Linked DNA regions of Struthio camelus. The protein of the gene in region 1 binds, or shares a complex with, the protein of each later gene. Links are inferred from orthologs where the notes say so. Each region holds a gene or a part of one and is shown in the gene's direction. Other genes may lie near its edges.

Evidence for each region. The genes of interacting proteins can lie anywhere in the genome.
Region 2: the proteins of NUMB (region 1) and YWHAH are in contact, whole or in part, in a crystal structure (PDB 5YQG), measured with the Mus musculus proteins. The link is inferred for Struthio camelus from reciprocal best matches to the Homo sapiens genes NUMB and YWHAH. Residues at the interface, in NP_001129547.1 of Mus musculus: Gln274, Gly275, Ser276, Phe277; in NP_035868.1 of Mus musculus: Arg57, Arg132, Tyr133, Leu177, Asn178, Val181, Glu185, Ile222, Leu225, Asn229.

Annotation. Positions count from the first base shown.
Region 1 is NC_090946.1:43,241,997-43,252,179, forward strand, and holds the start of NUMB (protein numb homolog), read left to right. Parts: upstream 1-5,610; 5' UTR 5,611-5,631; intron 5,632-10,183. Other genes in the region: RIOX1 (ribosomal oxygenase 1), read right to left, coding at 2,709-4,478. UniProt on the Homo sapiens protein: Regulates clathrin-mediated receptor endocytosis. Plays a role in the process of neurogenesis.
Region 2 is NC_090958.1:8,471,296-8,481,927, forward strand, and holds the start of YWHAH (14-3-3 protein eta), read left to right. Parts: upstream 1-6,231; 5' UTR 6,232-6,887; coding exon 6,888-6,974; intron 6,975-10,632. UniProt on the Homo sapiens protein: Adapter protein implicated in the regulation of a large spectrum of both general and specialized signaling pathways. Binds to a large number of partners, usually by recognition of a phosphoserine or phosphothreonine motif.

The DNA of each region.
Region 1 (10,183 bases):
ACCACAGAAGAAAGGAAGTTCCAGGGCTCTTCTCTCACCCCCACTGTCCCAATCCTCTCCAACCACTTCCTAAGTTTTCAAATAGGAGGCATTAAACCTGCCCTCTCGCTTGAGCTGCATAGCCCATGGTATCATGGTTGGAGGCCTTATGCATGCAAGGAGAACTGGCAAGCTCCTCTGTTTTTCCATCATTTCTGAAGGAGGGCAGGACAGAAGCACCTCAGGGCTGCAATTCTTAAACCGCGGTCCACAGAGCAAATGCTCATGGCCCGTGGAAAGCTAGACAGTAATATGAGGCTGACCACAGCATTTGCCCAATAGTAAGTTTAAAAGATGCAAGTTTTTTTCTCTGTGTTAATCCATCACTGTCTCATTTGTCATAGATATGCTTGAAGTCTGGGGGAAGAGGGGGGTAAAAAACCCCCCAAAACAAAAAACAAAAACAGAAAGAGAGAAAGACTATCTACTATAAAGTTCTCACCTCAAAGCCTGCATCCCAGCCCCACCACTGTAATAGGGCAACTGCTGAATCTGAGCCAAGAGAGATGCACTAGTCTTAAGTCTGCCCATTAGAAAACCACATTTTGAATATGTAAACACTGATTCACCACCAGTGTTCCTGGTAACAGCTAACAATTCAGTCATTTGCATCTCCCTCAACTTTCCTTTTTGTTTCCCTTTCCCCCTTAAGCTATTTTTATACAATTCTGCTCTTCTCAAGCCAAACCCCACCCGAAACCAGCGTGTGGGCACCAGCCTTAACTGCTCAGCTCGCACAGGGCCACTTCTTGCTCTGTTCTAGATACTTGTGCCACGTGAACAAACAAGGGCATCCGTAGCACCCACACCAGAGCTGGACCTCGGAGGGTCTGTATGGTAACACAGGCTGGAGCACTGTAATCCCTCAAAGAGACGCTGGGACAAACTGCCATTTCCTTCAGCCCTCCCTGCTGAAACCCCATATAGGGACACTACAGGGCAAGCTGGAGGAAAGAAGTATTACCTAGCGGATCTAGGAAGCATGTAATTTTTTGAGGTTCTTTCTTCCTTTTGAAGAATTTGCTATGTGCAAATAACACATCATTATATTTTATTTCATTTATATTTAGAGAAGTGGAAAAAGCTGTGAAAATCCTTAATTTTCCCCATGAGGAAGATCAAGAAATGATTAGAGAGATCAAGAAAGAGGTAAGGAGAGCAGCTCAGTGAAAAACTACTGTTGTTTTTTTGGTATTCTGCAACTGCCTAGGAACTACATGAGGTTCAATCTGGTACTCTTACGCCAGGGCATGGCCAGGCATAAGGTCACAGTATTTACCATCTCGGAGAAAATATCTAAGCTTGGGGGTGGGGAGGGAAGCACATGAAAACTAACAGGCATTTAAAGTTTTCCACAGAGCATTAGGTACATCTGATTAGGTATAGAAGAAACATAAATCGCACTCATTGTAACTTTTCTATATGCCACAATAACTTAGCTGCCTCACAGGAAGCATCATTTCTTTCTTAGCAAAGGAATTCCAGGGAAGTGGGGGACACCTTCCACAAAAAGCGTCAGCAAATTTATCAGGTGCTTTCACATCTGAAGATTTAAATTAACTTGCAAGACTTTGAACTATTGAGGTAAATAATCTCACCTAGGCTTCTCCCATGACACGTCAGAGTGAAACAAACGTGCTGTGACTTGTATGGCCCAAACAATAGTTTATTTATTTGCACCAAATATAATTTTTCAATTAAGAGAGAGGACTTACTGTCACACTCACCTGCCAATGTATTTGATCCAGATTTTCAGGCTAAGCCAAAAGGACTTGGTGACCCAGAAACTACTGAAACTTGAAGAGGTTACGGACTGGCTGCGGCAAAAGGCCAATCGAATCTGTTGGAGCAGGGAGGACCTTGACTCTGAATGCGAAGACATCCTGGAGAGGATCACTGCTGTTTTTCAGTCCACTCCTGGTAATTCTAATACAAAAGTTTTAGAGCTATTTCTCATCTGAACTACGCCAGTACAGAAGAAAACATCCCTTGGTTTTCTGAGCTCCCTCTGCAGCGAGAGGAGGCACTACTAGTCAGTCAGTAGCTCCCTAACAGGCACAGCAAAATTATGTAAGGTTCATGCATTCAGATTCATGAAAGCCAAATTCTGAAGTAGCATATGAAGGTCAAGGGAGAACTTATCTTCTGTGCAGAAAGCCTTCACCACCCTCCATCCCAGCTGCCTTTCCAAACCCCTAACCCTGACACAAGGAAAAACAAACTGTTAGAGAATGCCCTATTCTAATTCAGTCCAGCTAGCCCAAATTTCGGCATGGCTCCTAGGTGACCATCCGCAAATATGTCTTTAAGTAATGAGAGTACTTCCCACAGTAACACAGGCTGCTTTAAAACAGTGTAAGCACCCAGCTGATCTGCAGACTGCAAAAAAGTTCACTAGCTTCCTGAAGTTACCTAGGATGCAGTAATATGGTTGGCAAAAACAAATTAAGCACCCGTCTTCTCTAGTCACTTAACCGTGCACAGTTCAACAGAAGACACTTTTTTAATGAGAACAATGTTTGATTTGTCTACCCAGGTCAAAGCCCTTCTACCCTCAGATCAGAAACGGAGATCCAAAGCGCTGATTCACACTCAGCAGCAGACGTAAGGTAAGAGCAGGAGACAATACTTTATAAACAACTCTATGTTTATTTTGTTCAAGAATAGAGCTACACTTGCACCAGAGGCTTCTTAGTAGTCAGAATGCCCTTCTCAAACAGGAGTGTGGCTACAGAAATCTTGTCCTCCAAGGTTTCACATGGAAGGGTATCCACACTGACATGGTTTGGATAAGAAGACAGGAGAAATTCAATACTGTCTGTATACTCGGGATCTATCTCAAGGGACTTGCACTCTTCTTTATGATACACTCGTGAGTTTTCTGTCGTGTAATACAGCATCACACCAGCTTCCTCATTGCACAGTCTAATGATGCCATGCCGGAGGAGGCGTACTTCTGTGTCTTTCGTTATTAGTATATCGACGTCGCGGGTGCCTCCATCTTGCCACCGGGCTGGAAATCCATACACGCTCAGCGCCTTTTCATTTTGTGTTAGCACCGGGGGGAGACAGTCGTGAAGAAATGACTTGGCTCTCTGATCCACGGCAGCATCAATAGGCGCATAGTCGATAAGTTTCTTTATCAGACTCTGCACCTTCTCCACAAAAGCTGTTCGGCGAGCATCGACTACGTCCGAGTTGGCGACCCCCATGTATCCCAGGTAGTCCATGGGAAGCCCTTGCCGGTACTCCACGTCCTCCTCCAGGGCCATCTGCAGAGCAGCCGGGAGGAGCTTCTCCAGGAGGTCGCCCCAGGAGTTCCTCTGGTAGGACGACACCGTGATGTGGAGCGAGTGCGCATCAGGAAGACAGTCACCCTGGTGGATAAACCCCCGGGGGAAGTACAGCAGGTCCCCGGCCTCCAGCACCGCCTCCAGAACGGGCTCGCCGAGTTCAGCCTGTGTGAGGTTTGCGCTGGAGAACTGGGGCAGCACCTCGGCTCCCGTCCGGGGGCCGTAAACGCGCCAGTGCTTCTTCCCCTCCAGCTGCAGCACGAAGGCCTCGATGTCGTCGTAGTGGGGGGCAAAGCCCTGCGTGCCCGGCGGCGTGAGGTAGGTGTTGGCGCCCGCCATGCTCCCGAAGTGCTCCTGCAGGATGGAGAGGAACTGCCAGACGGTGGTGGAGAAGGCCTGGGGGCAGAGGAGCCGCAGGGAGCACCCGTTCTGGTAGAAATCCCAGACGACGGCGGGCAGGGCCCGGCCGGCGGGGTTGTGGGTCTCCCGCACGCCCTCGGCGTAGCTGGTCACGTCCAGGTGGGTGCCGAAGCGCACCTCGCCGCTCCGCAGCGCGGCGTCCAGCTCGGCCGTGGAGAACAGCCCCGCGTAGTAGCCGGGCTCGCCGCGCCGCACCAGCAGCGGCGCCCGCTCCCAGCGCCGCGCCACGAACTCCCGCGGCGACACCGGCGCCAGCAGCCACCGGAACAGCTCGGCCGCCCGCTGCCGGCTGTCCTCCAGCCGCCCCAGCCGCGCCAGCAGCCCCGCCACGCCGCCGCCGCCCTCCGCCGCCGCGGGGCCGGCCGGGGCTGGGCCCGGCCCCGGGCCCGGCGCGGGGCTCTCGGCCGGCGGGCCGCCCGGGCCCGGCGTGGGGCCGCCCGGGCCCGGCGTGGGGCCGCCCCGCCGCTTCCCCGCGGGGCTCTCGGCCGCCGCCTGGGCCCGCTGCAGGCGGCGGGCGGCGGCGGGGGGTGACGGCGCCTTGGCCGCCGCCTCCGCGCCTTGGCCGCCGCTTCCCGCCGCGCCGCGCCTTGGCCGCGCCTTGGCCCGCTTGCTGCGGGCGGGCAGCGGCCGCCCGCCGCGCCGCTCCAGCCGCCCGGCCCCCGCCGCCCGCCGGTACACCGAGAGCGCCGACACCCGGCGCCGCTCCTCCGCGCCGCCCGCCGCCATGGCCGCGCCGCTCCGCCCCCGCCGCCGCCGCTTCCGCCGGGGCTGCCGGCCACGCGGGGGCTGCCCGGCCGTGCGTGGGCCCGGCGAGGGTACGTCCGTGCCTAAGGCACAAAGCAGAGACTAAAAGTGGTTTTTTTTTTTGTTTTGTCCTGCCTTCTTGGCCCACAGACAGCGTTTGGGTATAAAGGAACCACCTGATCTCCCCAGGGCGTCTGGCCGGACAAAAACTTTCCCCGCCCCCCTTTTCTTTTCCCGCGCGCGGAATTTCACGTGCCCGCAGCGCTGGGGGCGCGCCCCGCCCCACGCCGGGCCGCCCAGGCGGGGGGCTCCCGGGGAGGTGAGCGCCTCGGCCTTTATGGGGACAGCTGCCTGCCTGCCCGAGGAAGGACTTCACCGGGAAGTGTGCTTGTGCTGCTTTATAAAATTTAATATCTTACATTTTCTCATAACATCTGCTTAAAACGTGAAGCTTATTTGTGCCCCCACTAAGAAGGGAAAGGTAAGGCAAGTGCCGGAGGAACCTGACTCGCGTGGGCGTGTGTTCCCTGGCTGCAATGCTGCTTTCCATAGATGCGCTATAAGCATCTCTAGAAAAGATTTTCCAAAAGGTGTATCATAAAGATATTGTTTTGGACGATATGCAATTACTTTACACTCTAATAGGGTCAGATGAGGTCAGACTACTTCATAAGGCTCTGCTACACAAGGAACAGAAATCAAAGTTGGATGGGGTCTAATTCTGGTTTGTCTTCCCTCCTCCTCCCCCTTTCTTGTGTTTGTAATGCAGATGCCAGGTGAAAGGCTACATCCTCTTGAAGGATCTGCAGAACCAAAACGCTGTCAGGTCATACCGTGGTTTTTTGCCAAATCCTTTAACTGCGTAATACTCTGCACACACCTTTGTCTGTGCTCTCCCCATCTCTCTCCTAGACCTGAAGCTTCCCGGCGCAGCGCTGTCGGCGGCCTTGGAGGTGCTCTGGCAGCCGGAGGGCTCTCGGCCGGCCGTTTCAGACGCTGCAGGTTCGGCAAAGGAGGCTACCGCAGCGCAGAGGGCAGGTGACGTAACCAGCGAGATTCAACTCGTGGAAAACGTGGAGAGCTGTAAGGATTGTCGTTGTCGTGCTAGGCTGACGTTCTTCTGCTCAAGAACAAGGTGCCATACTTTTGTGAGGAAAAATCTTTGATGGAGTCAGATAATTTATGAGAACAGATTTTGCGTAAGAATTTTGGCTCCTCCTGTTAGCCTAAAGCATTTAACTGGAGCAATTTAGCCAAGTGTGCTCAGCAGCATTCTGGCTTACAAGGGTGTTATCAGCATCTCACAGAGGAACGTATCAGCGTCACACCATATGTTAAATAAGCAGCTAACGTTCACAAGGCATGCTCAGGTCTGCTGTGTGCGCCACTTAGCATAACAGGCCCAGGACACACAGCCAAAGAGTGAATTTTGACCTTTTTTAACTTCAGCATTGTCAGGATTTCAACTCAGGTCTGTATTTAATTTTTCACAGAGTTCAAGAGCATTCATAGCAGAAATCATTAGTTAGGCCATAAATAAGGATGAGTTCAGCTCTTAAGTCTAATTCTGGAACAGATTCAGACATCTTAATGGTTTAAGATTTTTTGGTTTGTCTAAAAAAACCCCAAATCAGCCTCTCGTTTAAACAGTGTTGACGGGGTGCACTTGCCAGCAGGGGTGCACTGGCACTTTTATTTGCAGCTCCTGGTTTGTGTCCACACTTAAGATGATGAGCCCTAGTTTGGAGGTCGTTGTTCCTCGGGGGGGGGGGGGGGGGGGGGGAGAGCACTGTCCCGCATGTGCTACAAACGTACAATGGGAAAATGTCTGCAAGTTGTGCTTTACATTGGTATGTGAAGAAGTAAAACGTTAGGAGTTTCAGCTTCTGTTTTGATACAACAGGCCCAATTCTGTCTCAGCAAAGCCAGGTGATGTAAACTAGGACTTCCTGTCCCATTGAAAATAAACTCTGATACATCTCCATTGGTTGAAACGCACATCTCGGCCAACACTTGTGTACATGATACAGATTGCGTAACTGTAACGTGTCTGTGGCTAGTCCCAAACCATGTTACTTGGCCATGATACTGCTGCTTGCTCAATCCTGCCTTTTCAGAATGCTGCTATACTTTTAATCTTAAGTGATTTCAGATGTGCACCCAAATTTATTTGGAAATATCATAGATATCTTAAAGGAATCTAAATCATCTATGAGAAGTAAAAAGATACATACCAGCTGGTGAGAATTCAGTGGAAGCCAGGTTCCTCTAATAAACCATTATAAAGCTGGTTTTGAAAAAACATAGATTTGGGAGGTGAGAAAGCTTTTCTTTGCTTCCGCATCTCATCAGCGTGTTAGAAGTGGCCGAGACAGATGTTGTATGAATGCAATGCAACTATTTTCATTTCGGGTGTGTTTTTTCTCTGTACTTTTTCTGCTGGTGCAGCCTTTAGAACAAAAGCTGTTACACCTGTGTGGGAAGAGCAACAACAGCAGAAAGCTGTTCTGTTGAACTGCAGTGGTTTAGGTGAAAGAGTCCAATTTGTGTGCATAGACGGTATTTTGGCCTTGGGTTTCTTGAACGTGTCACGCTTCGCCAGTAGGGGGCAGATACAGAACAGTGGTTGAATGAAAACAGCACATTTACTGGTACTTGGTATTGTGCTAGGAAAGACTTCCTAAAAATATCAGAACGTGAATATAGACTTTGCTTAGCAAGATTACTGGTTTGGATGGCTTAAAATGTGAGGAAAGCGAAAGCTGTCTGTGTGTGCATGTGTATGCCCGAAGAGAAGGAAGGGTGAACTCCGTATTTCAAATCATTCTTTGTTTTCCAAGGTTAAGCCCTGCGTACCGGAATAATCTTATCACTTGAAACTGTTTCAGCAGAACTGGGCCCTTAACAAAACCAAGATGCAAACTCTTTGAAATATGGTAGAAGCTAGACTATTGTGTGCTGTAATTATATGTAAGCCTGGCTAAATAGGCTTTGGCGGGGGAATGACATTTGAAAAATCTGGCCTTCTGAGTTACTGCTTAATTTACTCTAGTGCAATTGATTCTTCTCTGGCACTGAACACTTTATGTAAAGTCTGATCTGAGTTACACCAGAATAACTTTAATGATTACAGCAAAGTTGCTCTGGATGTTTACCAGTACAGTGAGCTCAAAGTCTCATTGTAGGGCTCTGATCTTAACATGAATGCCACTTTCTACCACTGCAAGATGATAGACATTGGATTTGTTGATATATAACAAAGTCTGAAAGTGAAGGACATGGTGAAAAATAATGGTGGTGAAATCTCTCTAATAATAACATGTTTCTTGTGACAGTTTAGCCTTTCTCATATTAAAGGCTTTCAAGAATAAAGAAGAATTTTTGCTTTTTTTTTCTGTGCAGCACATGAAAGGATTTTGACCTAAGGCAGAAAGAGAGAGCTTCAATATCACTTTCAGAGTACTTAGATGGTTGTCTGGGAGTAGCCAAAAGCTCTACATGCTATTTTCATTCACTGCCCAATATTTCAAGGAAATTTCTCATAAGGGAAGAACAGTGTCACAAAGAACTCTTTAAATAAACAAAAGGAAAGTAGCACAGATCTCTTAATGATTAGGTGGTCCCCAGCTGCTGCTCACATAGACATAGTAGCAACTCGAGGCTCAATTAAACTTCTTAATTAGAATTTAGCACAAAATTACTCAGATTTTATGAGCGCATAAGCTTCATTGCCAAGAGCTACACACATTTTATTGAAGAGGACACAAAAAAGGTAGTGAGTACAACTTACTAAGGAGCCGCAAATGACTTCTGAAGAAAGATGTAAACAGCACCTCCAAGAGATGTAGTGTTTATTTGATAGTTTGACCTTATTCCATTAACTGCTCAAAGAATTGAAGTCCTGAGTTTAAAGAGCAGTTCAGACAAGGCCTGATCCTGCAAAGGTATTAGCAGTCTTCACCAACCAGTGGAAAGAATAAAATTCTTTGCAGGATTGAGCCTGTGTCACATTTTTCACTTCTCTGTGCATTGGATACGCAATTGTTCTGCATAATGCAAATTGTCCAGCACATTCTCTTTGTTCCTGGCAAACCATTAATGTAAATCAGTCACTTTTTGAAAGTTAAGCTAAGTTCAATCCTTTTTCTCATTATTACTTTGCTGGCAACCTACCTCTTGCACTGTCAATTTTGTTTGCGTGCCAAAAGCAATAGCTGGTAAGGAAAAAGAACATTTCAAGCCTTCAGTAACAGGTTTCATTCACCAGAGCCCTGATAATCTTTCTTACGCAGCCCAGCAACATCCAGTATGCCATCACTGTAAGGACACTGGGCAGGACTGAGAAACATACTTCTCCTTGTGAAAGCTGTAACGTTCACTGCCAGATAACAAGACTGAAAGCTAATTCAGGGACTGTTTTTCAAGAGCTATCCTCTGGCCCCCTCATCCGAGTGAATGCACTCACTCACTGAAGCATCTCTTGCCAGAATTTCTGGCATATCTCCAGCTGTTTCTCTCAACTCAGTGATTTTCTTATTCAGTGACTGGTCCTGGTCTTTAATCCTGTCTATCTTGTACACAGAGCCCCACTGAGAAAATAAGCCTTCCCTGCCCTGGAACAGTCTGATTAAAACAAATTTATAAAAATAATAATTAAAAGGGCCAGGCCCTCTATGAAACGATCTTTTTGGAGGAATTTGGAAGCACAGACATTTCCCCTTGCCCTATATGACAGTAAAATACGCACTTTGTAAATTAAAGCGGAAATTAGATAAAATTTGGGAGTAGGACCCTCAACTGCGTTGTCACCTCTCATTCCCACTAGGATCACAGGGCTTATTTTGTAAAGCATTTCTGAAGTAGTTTTATGAGGGTTTTTTTGTTCTTAATACTTGCCATCTAACATTTGGTAGGACTGAGCAGATACCATCTGCAGTGACTCTGTAGGCAGTGACTAAACACAAAGCCGCAGACTCCGAGACTCCAGTCTTCTTGCTTTTCAGCAGAGGGAGAAAAGTAAATGGCCATGAGGGGAAAATCCACATCATAAAATGAAGGCAAAGAGAATGTGAATGAAATATTTGCCCTATGGGATTACTCACATATGGACAATTGAGATGGAAGGTATGTCAGGCTGCTCCCGCATGCATCCTGTATCTTGTGCTAGAGAGTACTCTTTTAATATGCACAAAGCATGGCTCCTGACAAGCTGTTTGGGTTAGGCTTTTCCATGGAAGAAGGATTTTAAAGTATTCTTATAATTTTCTTTGCATCCTTTCTGTATTAATTATGGCAACTGCATAGTTTTGCTCATTAAACATATTTAAGCCCACTCTTTCAAAATGAACATAGAGCAATACTATCATATAACAGTGCCATTCAACATTTGCCTCTTCAGTAAGTTTCTCCTTTGCAAAAGTCTTGCAGAAGACTTTCTCTTTTCTTTCCTGATAAATGGACAAAAAAAATTGTCTACGTTGAATTTTTTCTGAAGTACTCTGAAATTGCTCCCTCACCTCTGACGCAGCCTTACCAAGAGGGAAACATAAGGGCCAATAGGATGTCTTGGTTTAGCAACCATACTGTTCAGGTCTACTCAGAGCATGACAGCAGAAAGCCTGTGCATGCTAGCGCTCGCATCTTTGCTTTCAGTATTAGATTTGTATTGCTACTAGAGGGACAGCGTG
Region 2 (10,632 bases), on another chromosome or scaffold:
CTGCCTTAACAATACTGGCATCCATTGGTCTTTTTAAGTTTTTTAAATAGTTGGAGAACGCAGTTGTTTGGGATTGTTAAGAAAGCAGCTCAAGTGACCAGAGCTCCTAAGGGGTGCTGGAACAACAAGTATTCCTTCCAAACTTAAATTTGAAAAGGTTTTGCAGTTAAAGCAGAATTAGTCTTTTGTCTTGCAGTTCTCTTAATGAATTTCGTTTCCAAATTTGGCACAGTTGCTCTCTGGAGGACAATTGAATTTTCTAGGTCATTTCCCAGATGAAGTAACTTGTTGGTTTTCCAGAAATTTATATTAAATGATTCACAGCTCGATATGTGGAATCGAGCAAATTAAAATCAAGTATTTCTCTTTAAGAGGTGTAAAATCAAGTGGCTGGAGCACAGCGCGTTCTGGCCCACCAGCATATTTGCCCCATGCTACCTGGATGTTGAACCTGCATGAAACACTTTAGCGGAGCTAATTGCTTTTGGAGAAGAATTTGCAAGCTATGCTTGCAGATGATGTCACAAAATCTGACCGTGCTGAGATACAGGTAGCTGAGCAGAGTTCAGACACAGGCTGTCACTTCCCCATCCATGAGCTGGCACAGAGTGGATGCATAGCTGTACAACAGAGGAAGAGATCAAGTGAATCTGTGCTTAGAGCCAGTGCACTTGGCCTTCTGCGCCTGTGGTGCCGAGTTGAGACGGTCTCGTGGGACAGCGTGGTGGAGTTCTTCAAATCATATTACATTCACACTGGGTTTGCACTTGAATTGTTTAGTTTATGTCTTACCTTGTTCTCATTTCCTAGCTGTGATTTATATCCTAGCCTTGTTCTAGTTTCCCTGTCCTGCCATATGTAGCAGGCTCTGGATGTGTTTATATTCTTCTTCCTCGGAGCTGTAATTAGAAGTGCTCTGAGCACGTGGCTGACCTGCCCTGAGCTGAACGTGCTGTACCTGCTGTTGTCATTCCTCCTCCCCCTTAGCATGGCATGGCCTAACAAAGGAAGGAGCTTGTCCTAGATAGAAAAAAACAAAGCCATTTTTATCTTTAAATTCATAGGAGAGCCCAAAGAACCAAACTTGCGCATGTCAAATGATTACAGAAAAGGGATGGAAATCTAGGAGCGTCTTCAGAGGCTCTGTTAATTAGCCGTCTCTGAGGTGAGAGAGCCGTTTTCCCAATGGGCAGGCAGTCAGATTTTCCAGGGCTGCTGCTAGAATCAGCTTTCCTCTTGGCAGTTCCAGCAGATGGGCCTAAGGCTGGCAAGGTCAAGACTGAGCTGTTGCCGAGTTAGATGTGTGGTATAGAAATGGCAGTATGGAGGACTTGCGCGCTGCAGCTGCCCCTGAAAAACTTCTCTGAACCTAATCTGCTACAGTGCTAAAGGGGATTAATCACATGAAAAGTTGCTTTTGCTTTCCAGTCCCCTTCACAGTCCCTGTCAGCTCTCACAGTTACGGCATGGGCTGGTCTGAGGCCCGCTCCGGACAAATGGCAGGGCAGACAACTTGAAGGGCAATATTTTCAGGCAGTCTCTCATTCTGGATGCCTGGCTTGACTTGCTTGGGGCCTCATTTTCAGAGGAAACGAGCACTTATGCATCAACTCAAGTAGGGCACCCAGAATAAGAGGCCACTTTTGAAGATTTTGGCAAAAGCATTTTCGTTTATCTCTGCGCTTCATTAGACTCATCTCCAAAGTCTTTCATGTAATTTTCTGTAGTGAAAGGTGATTGTTTCAGATCCATCATTTTCAGGGGAATTTAATCCAATTCTAAGTCAAGCTAACCCACTTTGGTAAAGTTTGAAGAGCAGTAGAAATTCATTTGTTAAGAAAATCTGGACTTATTTCTTAAATCTGGCCATTGATTCAGAGTCCTTAATTGTGTATGCACAGCGTGATGCGTCTTGGGGGTGATTCCGGAAATGCTGGGCATCTACGTTCTGACCTTATCTGTAGGCTGCAAATGCTCAGCACCTCTGAAAAACCGTGCGGTTTGGTAGGACTGTTTTTTTTTTACTTGCAATAGTCACTTTTTTTTTCTTGTTAACTTGTAGAGGCTTTTTTCTATATGGCGTTCTGCTCAAGGTTTCTGACAAGCAGGCGTTTTCCTGTTTTCCTGTTTATTGTTGTAAATTTGAGTTACTTTCATTTGATTAATTATGTAAAGAATAAAAACACATTCCTCTATCTGGACAGGACTATGGCAAAGACTCTGGTCTGAAGCAGCTTTGTAAGAGTTAAAGCTGCTTTCTGTTAGCTACTGTGTTCTTGCCACTTACACAAACCTCCATAACTGAGCATGCTTCACAGCCTCCTGTGCATATCCCTGAATCATTCTGGCAAGCAAAAACACTGCCATAATTTTTTATTCAGACATAGTGCTCATTCTTCACTGGACTCTGAAATGAGCAAGTGCTTGAATATAGCACACGTTTCATGGGAGAGTTCAGAGGATTTACCAACTCCTGTCTGCACAGGATTTTGAACATGCAAAGGGCTACTGCGTATGAATGCTGAGTGGTATTAAATATATTGCAGTGTTTGCAAGTAGGTTTCTGCATACAGACCTAAGCCATTCCCATGAGGGAGCAAGCGCTTCACGGATTTTGCACAAATCACTACCCTTCTCTTCAAAGGATCTTCCCCCCATTGCTGAATAGGTGTGTAGTGTACTTTACCACAATTCACAGCAGGAACCCTGCTGGTTCTGAGCAGCGCTCAGGCAGTGTAATCTTTCTGCCTTCCTTCTAGATTTTACCTTTGAGTTATGAGGGAGGTTCTGTGAGAATGATTACAGATTAATATGAAATTGAAATATGACAAATAGTAGAATATTTTCACACACACTGTGACAGCCCAGAGGGTTTTGCTGCTTGTTAAACTATGGTGTATGGTTTGGCTAGAAATACATCATTGAAATTATAGTCCCTTGTGGTTTGAGAAGGAATCATCACACTTCAGCTACACCCACTGCTATCTTCTGCTCTGATCTTGTCATTGGTTACAACACCTTCCCTCCCTGATGTGCACTTATCTCACTTTATTGCGGGGATGTGCTGCCAGGATTCTAACAATAAAAATTATAGATAGTCCTAAGCCTGTGAAACAATCTGTCCTTACCGCACAGTCTGAACATCCTGCCCCCACTTAAGTGCCAGCCCCAGTATTTCTAAGATCAGGTGCCCCCAGATTCCCCAGCTCTCTTTCTCTACCATCCCCATCTCTGCTCCCTTTGCTGTGATGTGGGAGCTGGTCATCCTCCTCCAGCACTTGGCAGTTGAGTCTGCGCCCTCTCTGGTTTTCAGTGCCTTGTCCCTAAGACTCAGTATCATTTAGCAGAGCCCTAAATAAAAAAAAGCCCTAAATAAAAAAGAGTAGAGCTTCCTTGCTTCAGAGAAAGAGAGAATATATCGCTTTCTCCAGGAATGAGGAGAATATTAACAGCAGGGATTTTTCACTACCACTTCTTTAGTTCCATGAGGCTCAGGAAGAAGGATGCGAAAAGTGTGATCCTTGCTCGCCGTTGCCAGAATAACCAAAGAAAATGGCCTTTGGCAGTGGTGGAAGACTGAAAGGCTCTGGTATGGCATCGCTATCAGCACTTAGTTTCCCTGTCATGCTTCCTCTACACCAGTATGCCTCATAGCCCTGTCCCCTCAGCTAAATGTCGGCATTGGGGACAATCTCTTTGGGAGTGCTTTGCTGTCCCCAGTGCCCCTGTGCGGAGCTGAGCGGTGAACTCGAATGGCATTTCGGCAAGGAGCTATTTGTGGAACATCGGTGCTGTCCAATAATCAGACATGCCAGTGGAGCAGAGCCACTGCCTTAGGTCATGGTGCAATTTTCAGTACCAGAAGTTTCTCCATCTACAAATTCTTGCTGGGTGTGGTAACTACACCAACAACTCAAATCCTGCCTCATGAGAACAGTATTTCTGAGCTCCTGTCTGGACTTTGCTGGGAATCGTAGAGCTGCGTAGTGTCATGTACGACGCTGGGCATCTGAGCTCTGCAGGAGAACCACAGAGCTTGGTAACATGTTGCACCCCGTTCAGCGCTGTAGGAAAGGGTTGGCTGACTTTTTCATTTCCTTTCCATTTTTATTTTAAAGACGTTGTGAATAAACTTCCAAACGTTGTAGCAGATGGAAACCCATTGCATGAGCACTAATTGTTTTTTATTTGTACCTTTATAGCTCCTGGGAGCCACTGTTACTGCGGAGGATTGAGGGCACTAGGTGCTGTACACGCAAGGGAAAATAGGTACTCTCCAAAAGACCTTGTCTGTTTGAAATGTGCTCTAATTACTTTGTTTACAATCACGCTATAGAATGCTTTGTAAAAGGTTGCCTGATTTTACCGCTTTTTCTTGCTAATGTTGGATTTAGACGTGTATCTGATTTTAAAGCAATGATGTGACGTACCACCTTGCGGGTTCGAGGTTAAGAATTTTTGAGACGCTTTAGACCGAAAAATGGCCGTTTACACAGAGGCTTCAATTAGAAAAAAACCCAAAGTATTTCATGAGAATATTTTTTTGTGTGGGTATATCCACATATATCTGAAAGATTAATGTAGATTCTCTGATTCAGTGGGTAAATGAATATAACTGGTTTTAAAAATACTTCATAATCTGTTTCCCTCAGGAGGCTGAAACTGCTGTACAAGACTGGAAAGTATTTTCTACACCCTACAAATTTTCACAACTGTTGGCACACTGTGCCAGATGGATTAATCTTTACTAAGGCGTTGGTCTAAACGGCAAAGTTTCCAAAGTTTAAGAATTGGATTGAGGATTTTGGTTTAGCCCATCTCTTACCATTGTTGCATAGGGTATTAGATACTTTAAAATCTGTATTTTTAAATTGAATCATGCCTTTTCAAGAACATAGTCTTACAGTCCATGGACAAAACTTTATACTTAGGTAAAATCAAAAAAAGTTTTCCTTTAACGAGGATAACGAATTGGACTGATACTTGGGATCCATTCTGTTAAGATTTTACATGTCACTGTCTTCTCTTAAAAACCACAAAAAATGAGGTAGGAAAAAGGCACTATTCAGCTTGCAGATCTATAACTATGTACTTCACAGTATTGCAAAGAGAAGAAAGTTACTTCCTTAATCTTGTGGCAATCAGTTTACACGTTGCTACGTGAAGTTTTTATCTTCTATATTTTATTACACATGACTTCCCTGTATTCTTATTTTTCACAATATTCATTCATCTCCTTTAAGAAATAAACAACTGAATTTATTTGAATATTCATCTAATCCCTTTAAAAAATTAATGACAGCATTTATTTTATGTGACTTCCAGGGTTAACTCTGTCTGAAACTCTCAAAACCCCGTAATGCCAGGGTTAAGGCTTTAACTTTTGGCTGACACACTGGACCAGATTTACTCGATTACAACAATGCAATAGTACTGACGATAACGGGAGACTAATGTCGTTAGTGAGACCAGAATTGGTCCCCTGCCTCTGGTGCATGCTAACGTGCACTCCTTCCTCTTCCTGGTGACAAGAACAGATGTGGACTTAAATTTATATAGGTGTTGTGGTACTGAGGCTGTGATGCTGAACTGTTTGATCATGAGCAAATCTTTCACTCAGATGTGCAGCAGTTCCCCATATGTAAAATGGTGTGCTGATGTTTAAATGCTGTGGATTGAGCAGAAACAGATTAAAATGTCTATGACTTCACATAAAGAAAAGCAACATGCATGCATGCTAGCATTTTTGCAGATACCAGCAGCAGCTGTGTCATTTGTGCAGCATTGTTCTTTTAAGATGATTTTTATGTAGGGCTGGTATTTTGTTAGTTTACTAAAGAAGAGCCTGACCATTATGAATTAAAAAACGCAGTAAAACAGAATTTAGATGAATCACTCAGGCAAGGTAACAACAGAATTGGCCTATACTTACCACCCTCACAACTAGGAATGTTTCAAAGCAGCTGGGATGAGAGATACGTTTATTTAACTGGAGCGAGACACAGCCGTACAAATGCAGCAAGATAAAGCTTGTGCTGAAAAGACACGGTAGCATAAAGCAGTCATGGCGTGTAGGCAAAATGGCACACGCGTAAACAGCGCGTAGCTGCACAGGGAGGACAGACAGCTCAGGTGGTCGCACGCTCTGCTTGAGCGGCTCTTCCTTTGCGATGATGCCTGGAGGGCAGGGTAGGGACAGGCGGCGAACTGGGCGGTAACTGACCCTTCTGTGAGCCGTTTCGAGTTGGGCCGGGTGCGGGGTGCAGGAGAGGAGAGGAGCAGCCGCCGCCGCCGCCGCCCGGCCCGGCCCTGCAATGCCCGCGCCCATTGCCCACCTCCACCTTTGCAGCAGTAAAATGCAGCACTCGCAGCGCGCATGCGTCCCCCCCCCCCCAGCCGGCGCCCCGGGATGGCTATTTATAGCAAGTGACGTCACCTAGAAATAGAACGCGGGGGAGCAGCGCCCCCCTCCCCTCCCCTGCAGTCCCCTCAACTCCGCCCCCTCGTTGCCTTCCTAGCGCGCAGGCGCAGGCGGCGGCAGCAGCAGCGCGAGGCTCCGAGCCGGGCGGAGAGGCGCGAGCTGTGCACGCCGCGGAGGGGACGGAGCGAGCGCGCGGCTACCCGCCTTGCCGCGGCCAGCGAGCGCGAGGCGCCCAGCGTCGCCTGGCTAGCGCGGCCGGGGTGAGCGGCAGCTGAGACGAGCCCAGCGGTCGCTGAGCGAGCGAGCGAGCGAGCGAGCGTGAGGCGGCGGCGGCTCCGTTTCGGTTCCCTGCGCGCAGTCGCATACTCGCACCGCAAGCCCGCGCGTTTCGAGGCGCAGGTTCCCCCCTTCCTCTCTCTCTGAGGGGCGCAGAGTGCCCAGCCCGGCAGCCACCACGGAAGCGGCCATGGGGGACCGAGAGCAGCTGCTGCAGCGAGCCCGCCTGGCCGAGCAGGCGGAGAGATACGACGACATGGCCTCGGCCATGAAGGCGGTGAGTGGGGCTGGCAGCGTGGCGGCTGTGGGTCGTACCCGGGGAGGAGTGCTGCCGCGGGGGTAGTGACGGGGGAGGATGGGAGAGGAAGTGCGGGCTGGGCCGAGGCGGAGTTGGGTCCTGGGGAGGGTGCGAGCCGCCAGGTCCCACCCGTCGCCCTGAAGAAAGGGGGGCGGGAGCGAGGCTGTTCCGCTGGGACGCCTTAGCGCCGTGCGGGGCGGCGCCGGCTGCTACCTGCCTCGGCGAGAGCAGCGATGAGTAGTAGCCGGTCCAAAGCGGACCCAGGTTTCCCCCTCCCCCTTCCTTATTTCTTTCTCTCCCCTAGCTGCTCCTTCGCAGCCCTCCCGCTCCCTCTGCTGTCCCTGCCTCGGGGGTGTGGCTGTCCCCTCTCCTCCCCGCTTGCCCCGCCAATCCGGCGCGCAGCAGGGCAGTTTGAATGCTGCCCGCCTCGCCCCTGCGGCGGCGGGAACCTGGCGGAGCGTCTCCCCACCCCAGCCCGAGATGCGCGTGTCTCCCTGCCCCCGGCCGCTGGGAGTTAGCGTGGGATCCCGGGTGCGACCTTGGGGTGCGTTTCCAGCCCTAGCCGGCTGGCACACACGAGCAGTTGGGAGGGTGGGGGGAGCCTGGGAAAACCGCGCACGGCAGAGAGAGCCCCTTCCTTTTCTAGACGTTTCTTTCGCCTCACGATAAACGCCCGAACAGAGGCCTCACCCACAAACATGGGTGCTCTGATTCAAAGACGGTGTAGTACTTGCATTCGGGTATAAAAGCCGCACAGTGCGTAAAGTCCGCTTCCCGAGCTGTAATGCTGCCTTTTTGCCTCTTCTTTGTAGGATAAGCATTCTCACTGCATTCCTTACACATATGAATACTGAAATGTGTTTAAACCACAAGGTACAGTCGCAATTCAGCTTCTCTCAAAACCGAGCAATGAAAGTTATTTGTACTGACCTGTCTGTACTGGTACATAAATAAAATTACAGAATGGTAAAACGTAAAATGTCTAGTCCCTTTTTCTTTAAACAAAATACTCCCATCATCTGAATTTTAAAGGTAATGTTAGTAAATGTTGAGCAGTGTCTTTGCTGTATCTGCTTACAACTGATTTTAGAGTCTTGTTGATCTGTTCTTTGTGAACGCCAAAAGGCCCCAAGAGGTATTGGGTTTCCCTTGAGAACGGTGCTGTTTAAAGACATGAGATGATTCTGGTATGAGAGAGCAGCTTTAAGGGGGTTGATTCTTACGACAGAAATGGTCTTATTTTCAGACTGATACATGTCACATTCCTTAAGCGAGGGCTGTGAAAAGACCTTTATTTTACTCTGGTTTTTTTAATTGTTAGTCATTTATAACTTGATGGTATTATGGCATTGCATATACCAGGACCAACCCAATTCTAAAGCAGAAATACTTTTGAGTATCTCAATAACAAATATACTAGGCATTAAAATGAAGAAGCTGCGTTTTAATATGTTACTAGAATTCGTGATAGTTATATTTCCACATAACCACTGAACTATGGTGTCTGTGTGGCTCCCTGAACATACATGCGACAAGAAATGAGCAGAATAAGAGTTGCTGCGCTTCAGGATATATGTAAATAAAGTGTATCTATAACTAGTATGCATGTCTAGTTGTCTTTTTAAACTGTCCAAATATTGTTTTACTTCACTTCATCTTGAGTCACAATATTCTCTTTGTTAATACTGTTTTTGCTCTCTAATAAGGTGTATAATGATGAGCTTCTGTAATTGGAAACTTGTTAGCACTTCTTAAGTGAGCTGAATTTTGAGTATTTATGAAAGAATGTTATATTATAGACATTATACTTCAAAAAAAAATACAACAAGCAAATTCAGCAAAGCTGAATTTAAAGGGCAACAGTTTAACATTTCAAGCTGTTCACTTATTGTAATTGTGTGCCTATAATACCATATCTAGTAGTTACTTAAATGCCCTTCATAGGTGTTCGTTCTAACATGGTAATTTCCAGAACGCTCTTTTAAAGTTTGATCTAAATTTTGCAAGTCGGAGCTTAAGCTGCTATGAAATGTTATTATGTGGGCTGTCTGTTCCCACGCCACTAATTTTTCCTTCATTTTCAGTGATTATAAACAACAGCTGTTTAGAGAAATTTCTCTCTGTATAGAGTAAGATATCAAAAGTATCTTTTATGTTGCAGAGATGGTAGACTTCCTTCAACAGGAAATCAGTGTTGTAACTCAGATACCTATTCCCAAAGCAAAATGTTTTGATTTCAAACGATTCTTAAAAAAAAAAAAAAACCCAAAAACAAAAAACACGAAACTCTGGACTTAACATATCTGATGTTTTTAAAATTGCTGGGTAATTGGCATGAAGGTGCTGTATGAAAACAGTGTGCTTCTGTTATAGTAGAAATTTGAATGGGCAATTTCAGTTACAGGTATTTATCACCATATTTTTACTATGCATGATACAGCAAACAGCCTTGCAGTTGCTCCCAAAACATGAAGTCACAGACTATTTTAGCAAAAGATCCTCACTGAAGAGGGGGGGGGAAAAACAAAACCCCAAAACCAAAAAAAAAACTACGAAGACTGGCATTTTAGATATTGGTATAATACTGGGGAAACACTTGTTATTTTCCAGTCTTTTCAATTAATTCTTCCGTAGAACAGCCAGATGAAGTAACAGTTGTAGCTTAAATAAGGGAACTACTGTTTAATAGTAGTTTTATTTGTTGCTTTTGAATTTTCTTGGAAGAATTCCAGTATTGCTGCTTATAACATATAGACAGGAAAGGAGAATGAAGCTTTCATGTAGATTGCTGTGAATGAATTTAATTTACTTTTTTGTAGCCAAAATTTTCTTTAAGAAAAATACAAGCATATGTGAATATGCCTTTAGTGAATGGCATTCTTCCAAGGGGTGTGGCATGCTCATTGCATTAAACGTTGCTCTTAGGATACCAACAATTTGAAATAGCGTTACATGGTAGGTTAGAGATTGCTTCTGAACAAAGCAAATGCTGAAGCTGTGTGTGGGAGAAAAATATGCTTTTAGTGTAAGTGTTGCTGTTTCTCACTTGTCTGAACAAATACTTTAAGCATATTGGAAATACTGCTTTGAGTGCTTTTGTTTTAGACCATTCCAGAAATAACGATTGTGTTGATTGGGAAATAAATATTAAACAGTTAGACTATTTTGCTGTCTAAACCCTTAGTATTTCAGACTCTGAATTCCGATGTGTAGTGCTCAGGAGTTCCATTCATGTATGTTGCTGTTCTAGTGTAGCTACATAATAAGTATCTAGGCATTTATACTTCAGTTGACTCAGGTCCATCTTAACAATTTCTAATGCGAGGATCTACAACTTTAAAAATTAGTCCTGTAATACTGTTTATCTGGGCTTACCACTGCAATAACATACTGGTATTGCTGGGTATGATCTTGGGATTTTTTTTTTTAAAGCAAAATAGCTGGAGGTCCTGGTTTAATTTGTATACTTTATCTCTGTATGTATATAGACTTAAAGTTTGGAGTGTTACATGTTTTTAGTGCTGTAACATCGAGTTCTTCACTTTCAACATCAGTGCCTGATTTTGGTTAACGAAGTATTTGTCGGGGGGGGGGGGAGGGGAATGAGATGCCCTTATTATAAACAGTATCCTCCCCT